Elephas maximus indicus: one gene and its partner. The main gene of each other region encodes a partner of the protein of the gene in region 2 in a complex. Links are inferred from orthologs where the notes say so. Each region holds a gene or a part of one and is shown on either strand. Other genes may lie near its edges. The genes, in order: CXADR and JAML.

What was found.
Region 1: the proteins of JAML (region 2) and CXADR are in contact, whole or in part, in a crystal structure (PDB 3MJ7), measured with the Mus musculus proteins. The link is inferred for Elephas maximus indicus from reciprocal best matches to the Homo sapiens genes JAML and CXADR. Residues at the interface, in NP_001005421.3 of Mus musculus: Arg57, Asp59, Ala69, Tyr72, Phe75, Tyr77, Leu80, Val82, Glu120, Arg122, Ser127, Met128, Val129, Met130, Lys131; in NP_001020363.1 of Mus musculus: Thr23, Gly51, Pro52, Asp54, Glu56, Leu58, Ser60, Gln65, Ile66, Val67, Asp68, Gln69, Val70, Leu73, Tyr83, Lys121, Lys123, Lys124, Ala125, Pro126, Gly127, Val128, Asn130.

What each region holds. Positions count from the first base shown.
Region 1 is NC_064836.1:44,146,678-44,156,198, forward strand, and holds the start of CXADR (coxsackievirus and adenovirus receptor), read right to left. Parts: upstream 4,336-9,521; 5' UTR 4,202-4,335; coding exon 4,159-4,201; intron 1-4,158. UniProt on the Homo sapiens protein: Component of the epithelial apical junction complex that may function as a homophilic cell adhesion molecule and is essential for tight junction integrity.
Region 2 is NC_064835.1:10,661,822-10,671,394, forward strand, and holds the start of JAML (junctional adhesion molecule-like), read right to left. Parts: upstream 3,854-9,573; 5' UTR 3,747-3,853; intron 1-3,746. Other genes in the region: MPZL3 (myelin protein zero-like protein 3), read right to left, coding at 7,728-7,754. UniProt on the Homo sapiens protein: Transmembrane protein of the plasma membrane of leukocytes that control their migration and activation through interaction with CXADR, a plasma membrane receptor found on adjacent epithelial and endothelial cells.

The DNA of each region.
Region 1 (9,521 bases), on a different chromosome or scaffold from region 2:
GTCACCTCTAGCAACTGAAGCAAAGGGGTGGAATTGAATAAGGCCAGAGATAAAGTCTCAATTTCTTTATGCTAACAATCGAATGAGAAAATGTTAGTGGGCCAGTGGAATGACTACTGTAAGGACAATCTTTCTAGGACGAGAAGGGAGAAAAAGGGAAATGGAATTGTATTATACACACACACACAGCCTTCTCTTCACTTATCGATACGGTTAGGTTCCAAAGACCAGATCATCATGCAAAATCGGCATTATGTGACAATGTAGCACGACAACATATCACAAAATGAAGAATGTCTACTTCATTACTTAACTGCCAAATGACATCATCATGACAGAATTGCCAAATTATATCACCATGTAACTGCCAAACCACTGGGAATCACGGCCCAGCCAAGGTGACACATAACCTTAACCATCACAGCCAGTGTTACTCTTGCCCTGTGCCTGTGTTTGTTACTGCCAAACATATGTTATTAACGCACAAAATAGCTGAAGAGTAGATTTTTTTACTATTGTTGTAAATGTGAAACGTCACATAACAACATAGTCGATAAGTGAGGTGTATGTATACATCTGTGTGTGCATAACTGCGTGTACACACACACACATGCCTAGCAGAAAATGGGTTAAAAATAGTTATACAACAAACACTGGCTGAACCCTTGCTGTCAGCCGTGCCCCAGGAGCTGACACTGAGACTGTAACAGCGAACAATACAGACAATGCTCTTGCCCTTTGATCTAGTGCAAAGAGATACATCTGGTAACAGAAGCAGATTCTACAACAAAGGAGTCAGCGTAGGCAGGCTAGCCTTGGAGGCAACTTTTGTTCAGATGGTGGGATGATGGCAGGAATATAAATATTAGAGGAAAGCACACAGAGGAGATAAAGTTCGTACCTAATAACCTTAATTTTTTTTTTAACTTAAAGGAAAAGATTTCAGGTAAAGTGATAAAATATCTTTCACTCCCCACTACAACTCTGAGATAGCATGGGTCTCATTCTTAATACATAAAGCAACTGAGGCAACAGAAGAGGACAGAGGCCCGCCCATCGTCAAACATGGTTGAGGGACCAGAATCACTGACCAGTCCTTTTTCAGTTCCACTCACATTGACAGCATGAAAACAGAAGCACCCCAAACTTTTGTGGGTACACGGGTCAGTTTACAACCACGGTCTCAGCCCTGAAGAATACTAGTGCTCTTGTAGTGCCTGAAAGAATTTAACTAAGATCAGGAAATTAAAGGGCTCATAATAAAAGCCCTCAGTGCTTGGCACAAAGTCAAGCCAACAACAGATTCTTAATAAATGACAGACGACCAATGGTAGACATTAGGACGTCGATTAGAGGCAATCAAAGAGTGAAGTATCTGGCTGCTTGAAAGGCAGAATAGCACAGATAAGGGCACAGATTCAGGAGCAATTTCGTAATCCTAGCAAGCTAAGTCATTTACTCGCTCTGTGCCTGTTTTTCCCACTTGTACAACAAGGGTAATTACGGTTGCTAGGAAGGTCGGTACGAGTAGGAATCGACTTGATGGCCCTGGGTTTTTTTAGGAAGATTAAGCGAGTATATGTAAAACTCTTAGAACAGCACCTGGCATTTAATAAGTGCTTAATTAAGGGATTAATTTTAGTACTATTGCTACTACTACCATGTGCCCTGGTGGCACAGTGGTTAAGTGCCCAGCTGTTTACCAGAAGGTCAGCAGTTCAAACCCACCAGCTGCTCCACAGGAGAAAAAATGTGGCAGTCAACTTCCGTAAAGATTTACAACCTTGGAAATCCCATGATGCAGTTCTACGCTGTCCTGTAGGGTCATTATACGTTGAAATCGACTCTGGCGGCAATGGTTTGGCTGGGGGCTGCTACTACCGTTTTACTGCTGCCACTACTGTAAACAGCAGTGGTAGTAATAGAGAACTGCTACTAGTAGTAAGACTTGGCACTAGGTAAGCAATAATAATGCACGAAAAGGAATCCCATCAACATCCAAAACACAACACTCTTTACTACCTACACAGAGACAGGTCTAAAGGAGAATCTATCACAGACAGCACTGCAATTTCTAATACGTAAGCCTCCACTTTGATTTACCAATGTAGGAGACATATCATGTTAATACTGAACTTGAGTTCTTAGCAACACATTTCTAAAATGGTCAGAAATAGGTGAAGTACTCAAAGCCAGGTATCAATTCCAGTTTCTGAGTTGATTTCTAAGACGGACAATTAGAATAAAAAGTTGTCTTGTTTAGCTAACCATGATGTCCTCTAAGGTGATGTTCGCTGTACCCTGGTGTACACACTATGAGCGCAACAACTTTATATGTATCAAAATAGCCTTGGCTGAGAATGTGTCCATCAAAGTGAGGCATTCCAGAAGAAATGAAATACTATAATCTGGATAGCTGGTGGCGCAGTGATTAAGAGCTACAGCTGCTGGTCAAAGGGTCGGTAGTTCAAATCCACCAGGCATGCCTTGGAAACCCTGTGGAGCAATTCTACTCTGTCCTGTAGGGTCGCTATGAGTCGGAATCAACTCCATAGCAATGGGTTTGGTTTGGATAGCCGGGGTGGGGGGGATGTCCTCTATGTTCTTACACTTCTCTGATTTAGATGTGGTCTAAAATGCTTTTTCTCCTCTAAGAGAACATACACATTGCCAACTTCAGCTTTTTCAGTCTTGACAAAACAAAGGTAGGAACGTACACATGCCATGTAAACTGGTGACGTAACCTTTAATCTTTTCAGGAAGCTTTACTTTGGAAATTTAAACCGAGTCTAAATTACATGTAAAGGTGAAGGCAGTGCTACAAACTTTGATGGGAGATTGCTGGGTGCTGTCAAGTTGATTTCAACTCATAGTGATCCCATGTGATAGAGCAGAATTGCCCCATAGGGTTTTCATGGGTGTAATCTTTACGGGAGCACATCACCAGGTCTTGCTCTCAAGGAGCCTCTGGGTGGGTTCGAACCGATGACATGTGGGTTGGCAGCCAAGCACTGAATCACTCGGACACCAGGGCTCCTTGATCAAAGATTTGACTTGTTAATTGACTGCTGATCACATGAGTAATGCTCACAGCTGTGGTATCCAACAATGGCATTAACATTTCAACAGGAAGCAGAGAGCCATCCCAACAGAAAAGAGCCACCGGATCATGCTTTACAGAGCACTATTATCCTTCCGGAGGCTACAAAGTGTGCCTCCTATGGCCCCACCTATGGATTTTTTCTCTTTCGAGTATATAAAAGGCGACGTATGCTTAGCCTGACAAACAAGATTCGCTGGTTGAAACACTGATAGAGAAACTGATCAGGTTCTTAAGTGTCAAAATGATTATGTTTTCTAATGGCCAGCGCATTTTTTAAATACCCTTTTCCCCCCTCCCAGAGTAAGGCACAGACCAAAAACGTACTTGGTGAAGGAATTACCCCGTACAAGCCACCCCATCCCGTTTTATCTTCAAAACGAACCAAATGATTTCAAACTCACAACCGAGGTTACTAAATTTCCCTTTGCTCTGGACTGCAGAAATCAATACTGCGTTTTTGCAGAAACCTATTTTGATTTCCCACGGTCTACCTCGTGATTCACCCATCCGTCTCTTGCCGGGGCTTGCCTCTTGTACGAGATCAAGAAAGCCTAGGATAGCACTCCTTCAGCGCCTCCTTCCTAGACGTACCTTGGACGATCCGCGGCACTGAAAAGCGCGGTGGCTACTGAATAATGGCGTTTGTAATTCAGCCTCTATGCCTGGACTGCTCGACACCTGAAAACCCGCCGCCCGAGGCTTTTGAAATCGGGTAATCCTGGACGAACGTGATCCGGAGGCTAACAACGGAAAGGGCAGGAGCGTACGAGGCACAGCCCGCACCCGCGGCAAACACGGTCTGGGAGCCGTCGGGGGCACCGCGCGCCGCGCCCACCCGCGAACCCGAGCTCCGCTAGCGCGCCCGGCCCGCCCGGCCGCCGCACCCTCCTGGCTCGCGCGCCCAGCCCCAAACCACGGCGAGCAGTGCAGCCCGCACCCCACCACCGCACGGCGCCCCCGAACCGCGCCAGCCCCCTCCCCCACGCCCATTGTTCCCGGGCGGCCGCGGGCTGGGCCGGCGGCGCGGTGCCGGGAGCCGCCTCGCCTGCACGTACCCGCGAATCCGCACAGGAGCACGAAGCTCAGCAGAAGCGCCATGGTGGCGGCCCGGCCGTGGGCGGCGGTGGCAGGTATGCGGCTGTCGCCCGGGGTCCAGGTCTCCCCGCGCCTCGCGCGTTCCCGACTGGTTCGCGGCGGCGGCGCGGCACCTCTGCACCCCCGCCCTCGCTCCGCAGGTGAAGTCGCGTCACTTCCGGCTGCGGCTCGGCCCTACGGCTCCCGGTCCGCCCGCCGCGTGGGGTTGCCATGGCAACCGGGAGCTGCGCGGGGGCTGCCCGCGGGGACTCTCGGGGCAGCGAACTGTCGCGCCCGCCGCAGCGCAGCGCTTCGGGGTGCCGGGGTGGCGCCCGCCTCGAGCCTGAGCCGGGGTGCTGCCTCCACGCCTCCGACTAAACGTGGGGGTTTTGTGCCCGGGAGCCGGGTCAGGCTCTCTCCCCAGGCAACTGAAACTGCGGTCGCGCGCTCGCCCCGGCCGCGGCGCGGGATTATCCTCACCGCCTCCCTCCGACCCTGAAGGGCGGCTAATGCCGTCGGCGCTGCAGCCCACCCCAGCCCGGCGCTCCGGCGCCCACCCCGCCCGGCCCTCGGGGACGCAGGGGATGAGGGACCACCGCCCCATCTCCGCGCTTCCTGCAGGGCTGGGCGCTCACGCCTGAGTCTAGGCGACGCGGGCTGGGCACACACCCCCACTTGCTCGCTGCCTTTGAGAAGACTTCTCAACTTCCAGCAATGACGAACCGCCAAACTGCGACTATGGATTTGGAACATACCCAGTTTTTTGTTTTTTCCTTGCATTTAAAGGATATTCTATTTAAGGAGACCTGGTACTGCAGCGCTAACCGAAAGGTTGGTGGTTCGAACCCACCCGGGGGCTTCGCGAGCGAAAGACCTGGCAATCTGCTTCCCTTAAAGATTACTGCCTAGAAAACCCTACAGGGCAATCCTACTCGGTCATATGGGGTTGCTATGAGTCAAAATCGACTCCAGGGCACCCAACCACTAACGCTGAAATTCTTGGATAAGGATGAGTGAGTTTTTAAAATGGGGCTAAGTAGGGGTGGTTAAAGGCCTGGGGGTGGGAATGCGGGGATTTAGATGTCTTGAGTGTCCCCGTCAACGCTTCACTGTCGCTTTTGTCTCCTGGTGTCCTCAGTACTTGCTTGTGTGTCATTTTGCTGCCCCTTCTGGGGTTGCTCCTCCCAGATAAGGTTTATTTATAACTGCAGAGATATTTGGGAGTTGTGAACAGTTAGTTCCATATCAGGAGTGAGATAGAGGAGAACCGTGTGGTGCAGTGGCGAAGAGCTTGGACTCCACAGTGGGGCAATAACTGGGCAACTTATTTAGAAATAGCACCTACCTCAGGGGATTGCTATGAAAATTACACAAGATAATGCACAAAAAATGTTTGCCATAGAGTGCCTGGCACATAGTAAATACTCAGTAAGTGGCAGCTGCTAATAAAGATAATATTGAAAAATTCTTGTTTACTGCAGCAGAAAAGAGAAAGGGCAAAGGAAGTAAATCTGTTATCATGAAGACCAAAACTGTCCAACTTCAATTTAGCCTGGTGGTTTGCACCCCTAGAGGCACATTAAAATCATGTGGAGAACTTAAAAATACCACTGTTACAGCTCCACTCCAGTGATTCTGATTTAACTTGTCTTAAGTAGAATCTTGGCATATCCAAGGAGTATAGACATGAGACAGGATGAGTAACTGCTTCAGACTTCCTATTCATTGAGGAAACAAGAATTCTACTGGATATAATTGTAGATACATAATATTTGGAATTTACATTTTTAATCACTACATCATACTTTATGGAATTAAGTAGAAGAGATTAAGTATTGAAGTTGCTCTTACCTATTTCAAACTGTTTCATGAGAACCTTTCTTAGTATTAACTGCTTCATAGTAGCACACACTTATTATAAAGTTGTACACTTAATGCCTCCTCCAGGTAGAAACCAAATCCACCCTTCAGGGTTCATTTCAACCAGTTACTACAGTAAATCTATAGAGATTGCCCAAAAGACTTTTCGTCTTAATCCCTTTCCTCCTTTTTTTTTTTTTTTTTTTAGTAATCCTTACCTCTGCCTCCTCCTGTGGTAGTCATTTGCATACAAAAAAAAATTTTTTTTTTTTTTAAGTCACTTCCCTTACTCTGAGCATCCTTACAAGGCTGAAAAGGCCCATCATTCATCTTTGTTGCTCATGGAAGCACAGCACATAGTAGGCTCTCAAGTATTGAGTTGAATGTTCATTTTCTGTATCGTGTGTTAATAAAAGTTGTTTAAATATCCATACAATAAATCACAAATATTACATCTTCAATTTTTAGAATGGACTTTTAAAAAAAATTTTACAAGCTGAATGTTTTATATACTTCTTTGAATTACTGATCTCAAAGCTTTAAAAATGTATCATCTCTGAGATTTAATGAACTATGAAAAGAGCAGCTTACCTTATTTAGGGAGCTAATGTTCTTTAAACACATATATGAAGTCACTTTTTGATGTTGCTTTGTGACAGTCTCATTAATTCCAGAACATACAATTATACATTGTTGGGTATCCTCAAACCAAGCTAACAAATAGCACACAACCATTAAATGAATTGTTCTGTCTTAGTAAAGCTCTATGAACTCCTCATGGTATAGCCTCTAAACCAGCGGAAAGGTGATTCTGGTCCGTCAAGAAGGTGGTAATTATAGAGACATAAATAACTCAGTGGTTAATAAAGCATTCGCCTTTACAAAGATCTCTCAGCAGTAATGATCTTTCGACACACCCACAGATGATTAAAATCCTACTATCATATTCGGGGGTTGATTTACCTTAAGAATGAAAGGCTTTTCACTTCTACTAGCTCCGAATATGAAGGTATGTGAAATACGGAACTTCCTATCATACATGACACCACTGAGTTTTATAATTTCTAGAAAGTGATAATGCTTTTTTTAAGAAACAACAGTTTTCTTGCTTGTGAACTGTATGTTGTTCAGAACACTGGTTTTTTTAGATTAATATCAGCAAAAAACTTATCATCTTGTTCTAATGAGAGAAAGTCATCTATTTACCCTTAAGCAATGCATTATAAATATAAGCATTTTTAGTTTTATGTACATAAACACTAATACTCTAATATTCATAAATCAGCCCTTAGCCAGTGACCTAGCAATGTTGGATCTTTTTCTTGCTTTTTTTTTTTTAGGTTCCTGATAATGCAAATTCCAAAATAAATACACAAAAGTGATAAGTTTATACAGACCAAAATTGTAGGCATGTAAAGATACCTTTATAAAACTCACAAATGAAAAGGCTTTTTCCCCCCTTATGTAGCTAAAGGAGGCCTGGTTAAGAGCTTGGCTGTTTGTTCTATTAACCAAAAGATGAGCAGTTGAAATTCACCAGCTGCTTCTTGGAAACCCTATGGAGCAGTTCTGCTCTGTCCTAGAGAGATGGTTGCTATGAGTCGGAATCAAGTCGATGGCAACGGGTTTGATTTTGGTTTTAAAGATCCCCTGCATTAAGCTGGAGTTTCTACTTTTTCTCTTTGATTGTAGTAACTTTTCTTTACCCCTCCAAAAAAACCAAAAACCAGTTGCCATCGAATCGATTTCAACTCATGGTGACCCCACATGCTTCAGAGAGCTGGCCTCCATAGGGTTTTCAGGGCTGTGACCTGATCTTTTGGGCGGGCTCAAACTGACAGCTTTTTGGTTAATAACCCTACACTAAACCATTTATGCTACGGAGGGGGCTCCCTCTTTGCTGCAGAATTCTTATTTTTATCCGTTATGTGAGGCATTCAGTGGGACTGCAGATGCATTTCCTTCTGGGAAATTTTCTTGAGTGAGTTAATCCACATACTGCATTTAGCATGGTGCCTGGAACCTAGTAAGTACTCAGATGATGTTATCTGTTATTATCATTATTGTTTCCTTGTTTACCATTCCCTTCTTGCATCTCAAACCACTTTTGAGATCACCTTCCTTGTTCCAGAATTATATCCTTTAGAAATTCCTTTACTGAGGATCTCTGGAAGGTATTTTTGTCTGTCTAAAAATACCTATTTTTAATTTGCCATCATTCTTTTTTTTTTAATATTTTACTGTGTTTTAGATGAAAGTTTACACAGCAAATTAGGTTCCCATGTAACAATTTTTATACAAATTATTCCATTACATTGGTTACATTTTTCACAGTGTGTCAACATTCTCACTATTTCTTTTCTGTTCTATTAATCTGGCCTCCCTGAAGGAGTCCCAGTGGTATAGTGGTTAAGGGCTTGGCTACTAACTGAAAAGTTGGCTGTTTGAACCCACCAGTTGCTTTGCTGGACAAAGATGTGGCAGTCTGCTTCCACAGAGATTAAAACCAAAAAGTTATTTCTAGGTAGTAGCTAGTGGATTTGAACTGCCAACCTTTGGTTAGCAGCCAAGCTCTTAACTACTGCACCACCAGGGCTCCTTTGCAAAGATTACAGCCTTGGAAACCCTGTGGGGCAGTTCTACTCTGTCCCAGAGGACTGATGACTGGTGTGGTGGTGATGAGCTTCCCTGACCCTCCTTAGCGTCTCATCTTTGTTTTAGGGTAAGTATTGACCATTTGGTTTCCTATAGTTGATTATTTAAGGGAGCATTGTACTCACAAGTGGAGCCCCGGTGGCGCAGTGATCAAGAGCTACAGCTACTAACCAAAACGTTGGCAGTTTGAATTTATCAGCTGCTCCTTGGAGACCCTCTGGGGCAGTTCTACTCTGCCCTATAGGGTCGCTGTGAGTCGGAATCAACAGCAACAGGTTTCGGCTTTTGGTACTCCTGAGTGATATGGTTTATTTTATAAGCCAATCTATTATTTAGATGAAAAATGATCACTGGGAGTGGCTTCGGTTCCAAGTTCAAAGGGTATTTTACAGTGATAGTCTTGGGGGTTCCTCTAGTCTCCAGCAGTAGAGTAAGTCTGGCCTTTTTTAGGAATTTGAGTTTCGTTCCACATTTTTCTCCCCTTCTATCTGAGACCTTCTTGCCGTCATTTTTGAAAGGTAGAGTTCTTGTATAGAATTCAGGGTAACCTGTCTTTTCTCTCAGTGCTTTCAAAATATTATTCCACTATATTCTAGCTTCCTTTGTTTCTCTAGTAAGTCAATCTAATAGTTCTTGTAGTTAATCTGGCTGCTTGTATGATCTCTTTGATTTTGTTATTCTACAATTTTATTACAATGGGATTAGGTTTTTTTTTTTTTAATCCTGCCTAGGATTTCTTGAACTTGAGAGAATTCCTATCTTCCCATAATTCTGCAAAAATCTCAGTATTCAAATTCTCATTGAATATTGCTTTCCTCACATTCTATTA
Region 2 (9,573 bases):
ATAAAACATGACTACATAAGACATTCCTCGCCTATACTCTAATCAACAAATGCCTCCATCTGGAAAATCAGGGTCAAGGACACCCAACCCTAGACCCCATTTACTCATACAAGTCAGTTGACCTTGCTGAACCTCAGTTTCCTCACCTATAACACGGAACAATAATGCGAGGATCAAATGTAATAATGTGAAAGTGATTTGAAAAATAGAAAGCATTACCATATAAGTTTCTATTTTTTACAACTTATTAGTCAGAAAGAAAACAGAACTTCTAGCTTCAGAAGGGATATTTTAGGTTCTGAGCTTGTACTTTTTCCTGAATGGCACGTGGTGACTGAGAATGAACTGGAAAGGCTATGTTTCAATTTTTGAGCCCCATTATAAAATTGTGGATGTTAATTACGCTGATCCAGATATGGAAATCCTGGTGGCGTAGTGGTTAAGAGCTACGTCTGCTAACCAAAAGGTAGGTAGTTCGAATCTACCAGGTGTTCCTTGGAAACTCTATGGGGCAGTTCTACTCTGTCCTATAGGGGCACTATAGGGTCGCTATGAGTTGGAATTGACTCGGCGGCAGCGGGTTTGGTTTTGGACCCAGATATTCCAAGAGTCATGTTAAGTTCCCCCAAACATAAGTACATCTAATGAAAACATGGATTTGTCTCAAGACAGCCATAGCCCTTCTCCTGCTCCATCCCCCGACCTCACCCCAATACACATGGGTGAGGGTTATAAACGGCTTCTTTTACAGCATGTCATAATCTTAATTATCATATCTGGGACATCCAGATCACTGTCAACTTCTGTATAAATCCTCCCCAGAGAGTTGGTTGTGCTCCTCTCTTGCCCAACAAGCAGCACTTGTACATTCCCCCAGCAGTGTACCATTTGCACAGAAGGGGAGGATTTTTTGGAGTCCCTGGATGATACAAATGGTTAACACACTTGGCTGCTAACTAAAAGATTGGAGGTTTGAGTCCACCCAGAGGTGCCTCGGAAGAAAGACCCGGCACTCTGCTTCCGAATAATCAGCCACTTAAAATCCTATGGAGCACAGTTCTACTCTGACACACATGTGGTCATCACGAATCAGGTTTGACTTGAGGGCAACCGGTAACTGGTATGATTGGTTTACGTGTCTGACACCAAACCCTCTTCTAGTCTGCACATTCTCCAGGGCAGGACCATGCATGTCTTGTTTATGTTTGTATCTTATTCTTGTGCTACACCATCTGATAAAGTGCCTGGCACATGCCAGATATACTGAGAGCTGTCAGTGTGACCATTAAACCGAAATCACCTTAGAGACATCCTACACTACTCTATTCTAAAAGGAAACCCCATAAAGACTCTCGATCTAGTCACCAAACCTGATTCATTCAGGGCCACACCCAAATCATTTTCAAACATTGGAAGAAAGGTGCAAACAATCTGATGAATCTACAACATCCATTTTCAGCCCTAAATAGCCAAATGCACCATTACTACTCTGTGTGAATGAATGGAGAAGCAATGATTTTAGTAGAGAAAGCATTGAATTAGTTTTAAAAAATAAATGAATAAAAATTTCTTCCAAGGTCGGACCTTCCATTAGCTAACCCTTTGATCTTTGGGGAATCAGTCAACCTCTCTGGACCTCATCCTTAACATCTTCCTGGTTAATAGGCAGCACACTAGAAATCAGTAGTTGATATGCAATAAACCCAGGGAGGTCATCTGCCGGGCACTGTCAGAGCACTACTACACATCGACTCGTTTAATGCTCACATCAACGCTATGAGGTTTTACACATGAGGCAACTGAGGCACAGATTGATGAAGAGACTTGCCTGAGAACACATAACAAGAGGCAAAGACAGGTTTCAAACCCAGACAGTCTGGCTTCAGAGCCTGGGTCCTTACTATATTATACTGCTTCTCCATATTTGTGAAAGGAAATATTTTAGAGCAAAGTTCCTCTGAATTTATCAAAACAAAAGTAATCTGCTTCCTCTGACTGGAATGTTCTTCCCATCACCATCACTCTCCCCTTTACCCAGTTAGCACCTGTTCATCTGTCAGATCTCAAGTTCAATGTCATTTCCTTGGGTGAAGCCTTCCTGAACCATCTAGACCAAGTCAGATCCCTTAGTAATATTTGTATTTCCTTTATGGCATTTGTCACAATTTATACTCATCTATTTATACATGTGCACACTTGATCAAAGTCTTGCTCTCCACCTGCACCTGCAAGACTACAAGCTCCTTCAGACCAAGAACTGTGCCCGTGTAGGCTCACCTCTGCATCACCAGTGTCCAATCAAAGCCTTCAGAAGCACCTTAAGAACCTTGGTAACAACAGACTCCATTTAAAATTCTCACCTTCTCCCTGGCTTTCGCCTTTCTCCAGAACTGATTTAACTCCTCAGCAGATATTCTTCAGATAATTACCTACAGTAAATTATCTCATATGTTGGCCAAACGTTTTGACCTGGGCTCATGCCTCTTTCACAATACACCTCCTGCCAAACATCTTCTCTAACTACTGGGGATGGGAGGGCGGTTTGGGGGTTGTGACTATCAGGATTCCCTTTCCTATTATGAATAAAACCCATTGCCATTGAGTCAATTCTGACTCATAGCGACCCTATAGGACACCGTAGAACTGCCCCATAGGGTCTCCAAGGAGTACCTGGTGGATTCAAACTCCTGACCTTTTGGTTAGCAGCCGTAGCTCTTAACCACTACACCACCATAAATTGTTATCCTTAACATAATTATGCCAGGAAAAAAAAATCCTCAGAAAAAAGACTCATGACAGTGAGACTACCTCACAGGACATGAAAACAACTCCCAAATGTAACAAGTTCGCAATAAAAAAAAAAAAAAAACACTGAATCTTCCCCAGGGTCATAGGATATAACTTATTCAAATCATCATTTATTCATCCTAAAGTTATACAGACAAAAACTAGGAAGAGGTTCAGTCTCTTGGTCAAAGTATCCACCCTCATAAGGACAACCAACTACTGAGCAAACAGACAACTGCCAAGTCTTCATTGCTCACATAGTCAGCTCCCTGTTGCTGTGAACCTCCAGGCTCTCAGATGTTGTTAGGTATACGAGTCCACATAACCACTCCTTTCAAGACCATTTCATACAGACTGGTAGTTCTCAGGGCTTCTTAAATGTAACCCAAGTTACATCAGTCAACCATCTACTGGAAGGGGACCTTGGAAGTCAGCACTCTTGGTTCCTCCTTCAATATCGGTTATACCTAAACCATCACACATCAGTCTTTCCCAATGTCAGGAGTATGCAGAGGGTGCAAAAAATGTAATGGACGGTCGTCTAGTTCTCTTGGGAGGTTTAAGTTCCTGGATCCTTAAGATTAAATATGCTTGTCTAGGACTGGGAGAAGAGAAACAATGAAGAAAGAGTTCTGTCACAAGCTAAAGGACACCTAGTCACAGCTCTACCTAAAGTCACAGGCAACTTAAAAGCTAAAGCCTTATCATCATCACTTGCTTTTTTATTAAAAGTAAACATTGCTCTTCATTTCACTGAGGATCTTACACATAAATTTCTCTACACTACAGAAAACTACAACCACTAGACTACCTCATGACAGTCCCTCTGCTAAGACTGAGAGTTCTGTGATTGTGGTCTCACAGTCCTAAAGGATTTCCAATAAACAACTTCAGAACCAGCCTTCTTCTGAGTGAGACAAGTTCAAACAACTGCTAAAAAATACGAGGAAATTGCTTACCTAAGATGAAGAGCGCCTGGGAGAAGCAATGCAGCTGCAGTCTCCCACGGACGGCAGAGCAGTTCAGGCTCAAGACCAAATGCGTGCGTTCTGAGGTGGCTGCAGAGATGCAAACAGGAACCTCTAAATCGAGGTTCCCATTTTAGTCATCTGGCCCATTACCCAATGTGTATTTATATTTTCATTCTAAAGAGGTAATAAATCCACCTTCTGAGGTGAACCTCACATTACAGATCTCTGTAGGTGTCATCTCCCATTCTAGATTACAAACTCTCTGAGGGTAGGATCTTGAATGGCATCAGGCAAGCATCTGCTGAGATCTGCCTTATACAGACAAAATACAACAAATTTAAGATTAATACAAGTATTTTGCTCTGTGTTCAAGATACAATAGTCTCCCTTATTTTTTCTCTCAACACAGGGTTGCAATATAGCCAAACAATCGCTCAGCCCCTGCTTCCAAAGATATGCCTGCTTAGTCCTCCGACTTTCCACCCGACATGTAGATTTCCTGCAGTGTGATGCCAGCATTTCCAGAATATAGGCAGCAATTTATCCCCCCAGGGGGCCCTTGGATGACTTGGGCATCCTAGATAAGAACTCAAGGCTTCTTCACTCCAAGTTATCTCTTGGTCTTAAGTCACCACTTCAAAATAAGTGTGCTTGATATATATGCCTTTGACCTTGTCTTAGGTATTAGGACTTCTATATCTAAAAATCTGTACGTACTCATTTTATGGAACTTGTCTTATTCATCATTTGAAAAGCTGTTCAATGCTTGCTCTTATCAAGGTCTATGCTGGATGGTCCTTAGTTTTTTCTGTAGTGAAAATATTTCCAACATAACCAATTCTGAGCTATCAATAGTTTAAAAACAAGCTCATAAAAATCCTAAAATTTTAGCAGTCAGCTCTTGTGGGCAGTGTGAGCCGGCCCCAGCACATGGCTGAATTTATGTAGGTTGTTGCTTGAGAGCAACTCAGAGATGACTTATTGCTTGATATTGAAAACTACAAGCACCCTCTTTCACACAACAGCTTTCATCTTATATGTAGATATACACCAAAATGCAGCTGGAAAGTGCAAAGAAGTTTATTAATGTTATGACACAGTAAGACACCAAGAGTTACAATGCCTATGCACATGTCCAACAGTGCATACCCTCCTACAAAAAGACAAAAGCAGAAAACTCGCTGAGATGCAGGAGTAACAATCTGACACAGGAGTCAAACGATGGAACTGCCTCTTCTGCAGCAAAGCTTTGAGTTGTGCGGTTAAATGATAGTCTTGGTCCACCCCTTCAGGGTCTTCTTGCAGCTCACCTTTAGGAGTGTAACTGAGTGATGCAGTAGAACATTCAGATTCAGGATTTGGCCTCCAGATTAAAAAACAAAAACAGGGACATGCGACCTTCCCTCCTGAAGCACCCGTGCCCATTTTGGGGGCTGCAGGGAACTGGGATGTCCCCCAAGTAGCCTGAGGTTAACAGGTCACATGGGAAACACAAAGTACTTTATAAGTTCACATTTTGTAACATACTTAAGAGCTTAATACACAAAACTCATAAGGTAGTGTGACCACAAGTAAAGACTTCAGCAGCCAAAGAAAACCTCTGAAAGACTTTTAACCCCTTATGAAGCTTTCAGAATTAAATTTCCTTTCTAGAAAAGGCTAGTCTCATTATGGTGTGACAAGAACTCAGGAAGCAGCAAAAAGAAAAAGAAATGAAAGAGAGAGAATAGCACCTTAGAAGATATTAAAAGAGTAGGTTAAAAAGAAAAAACTAAACCTTTATCTTCCTTCCATTCTTAAACAAAGTAGGTATCCAAGCACTGCTTTGTGCTCCCTTGAAGAAAAAAGCTATAATCAGACCTCAATATAAGGATATAAGGGATGGAGAAGGTAGTTGATAGCAGCCTCATGACTGGGATGTGACTACAGGCGCATGAAGTAGACTAAATTATCAACTGACTCCCTTGCCATGAAGGACTCTATTGTTCAGTCCTTTACAAAGGAAGGGACTGGTCCAAATCATGGTGACGGATATAAAATAACACGACTGGGTGAGTATTCACACAGCACCATTTACCTAAAACAACAAATGTACCCTAAAAAAAAAAAAAACCCTTCTGGATTAAAATCCCCACAACATGCCTGTGAGGACACAACAAGAAGACCCAGCCAAAATTGGTTCCTCATTTAATGCGGTATAGTTTTAAGTGCATTCCTGTAACATCATCTCTTTCTTAGAGAAAAGAGGACCCTCAGAAAGCCCCCTCACAATCAGGTATCTATCTTCAAATCTTCTGGAGCTCTAATTATTTGTTCCCATTGCTCAAATTGTTTTCCTCTCTCTGTCGCGGTGTCGGAAATGGTCTCACCAGGTAGGCCCTAGACAACCACGAGTGGTCCAAAGACCCGTGAGGTTTAACCACTGAAAACGTAAACTGCCAATACCAACCCTGCCTTTGCCTCTTCTGACTTCCTTCCGTGACCAGAGGTAAATACCAATGTCTAATAATCTGTGCACTAGGTTAACAAAAGAGGCTAAGCCAAATCTATGAGACAGACCTAACAAAAGTAGATTTTAAAAAAATAGATCTTGGCAAAAAATATAAAAGAAAGGTGATTTTTCGGTAACATATACAGTACATAATGCTATATGGAAAGCTCCAGAACTACTTAGTGGAGAACAATGGAAAAGGGCCATCCTTTTAAAAAAACAAAAATGGGAGGAGGGGGTCATTGTTGTCTGTCATAATTGAGAAGTGAACTCTTCTATCACAGAGGATTTTTATCCCTACATCACAGAGGACTACTTAACTATACACTGCCAATCCTTCCTGACAGCTCAGACACATTTCTTAATGGTTTCTAGAAAATCCCACACAAATTAAAACTTAAAAAAAGTTGCCATCAGAGAATGGAGGAAGCTGTCATAAAGTACTGAAAGCACAAAAGGAAGAAATATAGGTTATGCACAACCTCACTTCCTCATCTCTAAACAAAGGCAGCCTGTAAATACCACAGTACGCATATTTGGTGTACTTTAGATATCAAAGAAGCTTTGAAAAATAGCACATACTAAAAGATGATTTAATTATAAATAACTGCTAAGACAGTCTCTAAGTCCTCACTGAAAACCTCTTGAAGGGTTTGTTTTCTGTTTTTGTTTTTTCCCTCTGACCTAAAAAGTCAAGAAGAAAACCATAAAGCGGTCAGCTGTAAGAAAGGAAAATAACAATGGCCCCTTGGCCCAAATGGCACATAGCAAGACAAAAGAAAGGAATTCCTCTACCTCACCACTTCTTTCGTTGATTCTAAATTGATGATACTTCATTTAATATTTTCAAACACAGTCAGAGCAAACCATTGCCTCCTGATCCTACCAACTCTAAGGAAATTAAGGTTATACAATTCAGATTACCCAAAGACAAATGGTGATGAGATCATTAAACCAATGAGTCTATGCTGTATGCTAAGTCATGGCTGAAAATGTCCACGGAGCACAAAACAAGGAATACTTATCCCAAGCAAACATTCTGTCTGGTAGCATATCAGGAAGCTACAAGCTCCATTTCATTTAAAAAAAAAAAAAAAATCTATTTTGGCACCAGCAGTGGCAAATGTTTAGAATTCTCCTTCAAATAATTAGAAGATCACATGTAATACATCGAAGAGCAAAGGCAAAACAAAATTATCTTTCTGTTTGGGAAAAGAATTCCTTCTTCAATTAAAGTATAACTTATTAAAAGGGTAGTTAGGAGTCTTTTCTGAGAGTTTTTGAACAGTTTATAAATACAAAAAGAACATTTCTTCAATAAATAAATGGTTCCTAAAGTCTTTACTGATGACTTTCAGAATTCTCCATCACTGCTTGCCCAGGCCAGCTCCACTCATCCCAGAGGCTTTAGCGGCCGGTGGAACGAGTTGTTTTCTATTATCAGATGGGTGACTCTTCTTAAATCATGCAGACTTGCATTAATATGTGTCTTCATAGTCTGAATCCTGAGGGGAAAGAACAGTTGGTGTGATGCGTATAGGAAACATAATAACACAGTCAGAATTTAGGCAAAGATGGCACGTTTGGATCCCCCCCCAAACGGACCTTGCAACCCATCAGCAAATCCTTCTGACTTTACCTTCAAAATGTAATCAGAATACAATCACTTCTCACCACCTCTACCACCACCGCCCTAGTCCAAACCACCACTATCTTCTCTGACGTAGATCTTTGCTAAAGCCCCTCAATTGGTTTCCCTAATTCTGTACGGTCCCTTACCACCTGTTCTCAACAAAGAAGCCAGAGTGATCCTTTGAAAACATAAATCAGTTCACATTGACTCTTAAAACCATCAATGGATTGTTTCATTAAAAGTCCATCATTGCAGCACTATTCACAACAGCAAAAAGGTGGAAATAACTAAAGTGACCATCAACAGGTGAAGGGATAAACAAAGTATGGTCTATGTATACAATGGGCTACTACTCCACCATAAAGAGAAATGAAGCTCTGATACGTGCTATGATATGGATGAACCTTGAAAACATGCTGAGTGAAATAAGTCAGTCACAAAAGGACAAATACTATATGATCCTACTTATAAGAAATATCTAGAATAGGCAAATGTATAGAAACCAAGGTTACCAGTGGTTACCAGGGGCAGGAGGGAGGGGAAAAGAGGGAGTCATTGTTTAGCAAGCAATGAGTATCTGTTAAACTTGGCAATGGATACTCCTGATGGTTGCACAGCATAATTAATATAATGGGTGTACTAAATTGTACATGTAAAAAAATGTTGAATTGGCAAATATTATGTTATACATATTTTTACCACAATAAAAAAATACTCTGCAGTGTTATGGCTTGAATATGTGTTATAACATAGTTTATAAAGAAAATCTTCTACATTCTACTTTGGTAGGTAGTGTCTAGGGTCCTAAAATCTTGTGAGTGGCCATCTAAGAGACTCCACTGGTCTCACCCCTTTGGGAGCAAGGAGGAATGAAGAAAACTAAAAACACAAGAGAAAGATTAGTCCAAAGGACTAGTGGACCACAACTACCACAGCCTCCACCAGACTGAGTCCGGTACAACTGGATGGTGCCTGGCTACTACCACTGACTGCTCTGACAGGGATCACAATAGAAGGTCCCAGACAGAGCTGGAGAAAAATGTAGATCAAAATTCTAGCTCACAAAAAAAGACCAGACTTACTGGCCTAACAGAGACTGGAGAAACCCCAAGAGTATGGCCCCTGGAAATCCTTTCGGCTCAGTAATGAAGTCACTTCTAAGGTTCACCCTTCAGCCAAAGATTAGACAGGCCCATAAAACAAAACAAGACTAAAGGGGCATGCCAGCCCAGGGGCAAGGACTAGAAGGCAAGAGGGGACAGGAAAGCTGGTAATAGGGAACCCAAGGTCAAGAAGGGAGAGTAATGACATGTCCTGGGGTTGGTAACCAAAAATGTCATAAAACAATATGTGTACTAACTGTTTAATGAGAAGCTAGTTTGTTCTGTAAACCTTCCTCTAAAGTACAATAAAAAAATAGGTATGTGTTGTAAATTCTAACCCCTGTACCTTGGATACGATCTCATTTGGGAATAGGGTTCCCTTTGTCATATAAATGAAGCCATATCAGTGTAGGGTGTGTCTTAAGTGATTGTACTTTTGAGCTACAAAAAGAGTACATTGGGCACAGAAGCAAGGAAGCACAGGTGGGGGAAGATAGATTCATGCTGCGTGAAGATCGCCAAGGAACCAAGGAACAGAAGCTGAAAAGAGACCTTTCCCCCAACTCCCCCCAACCCCGCAGACAACAG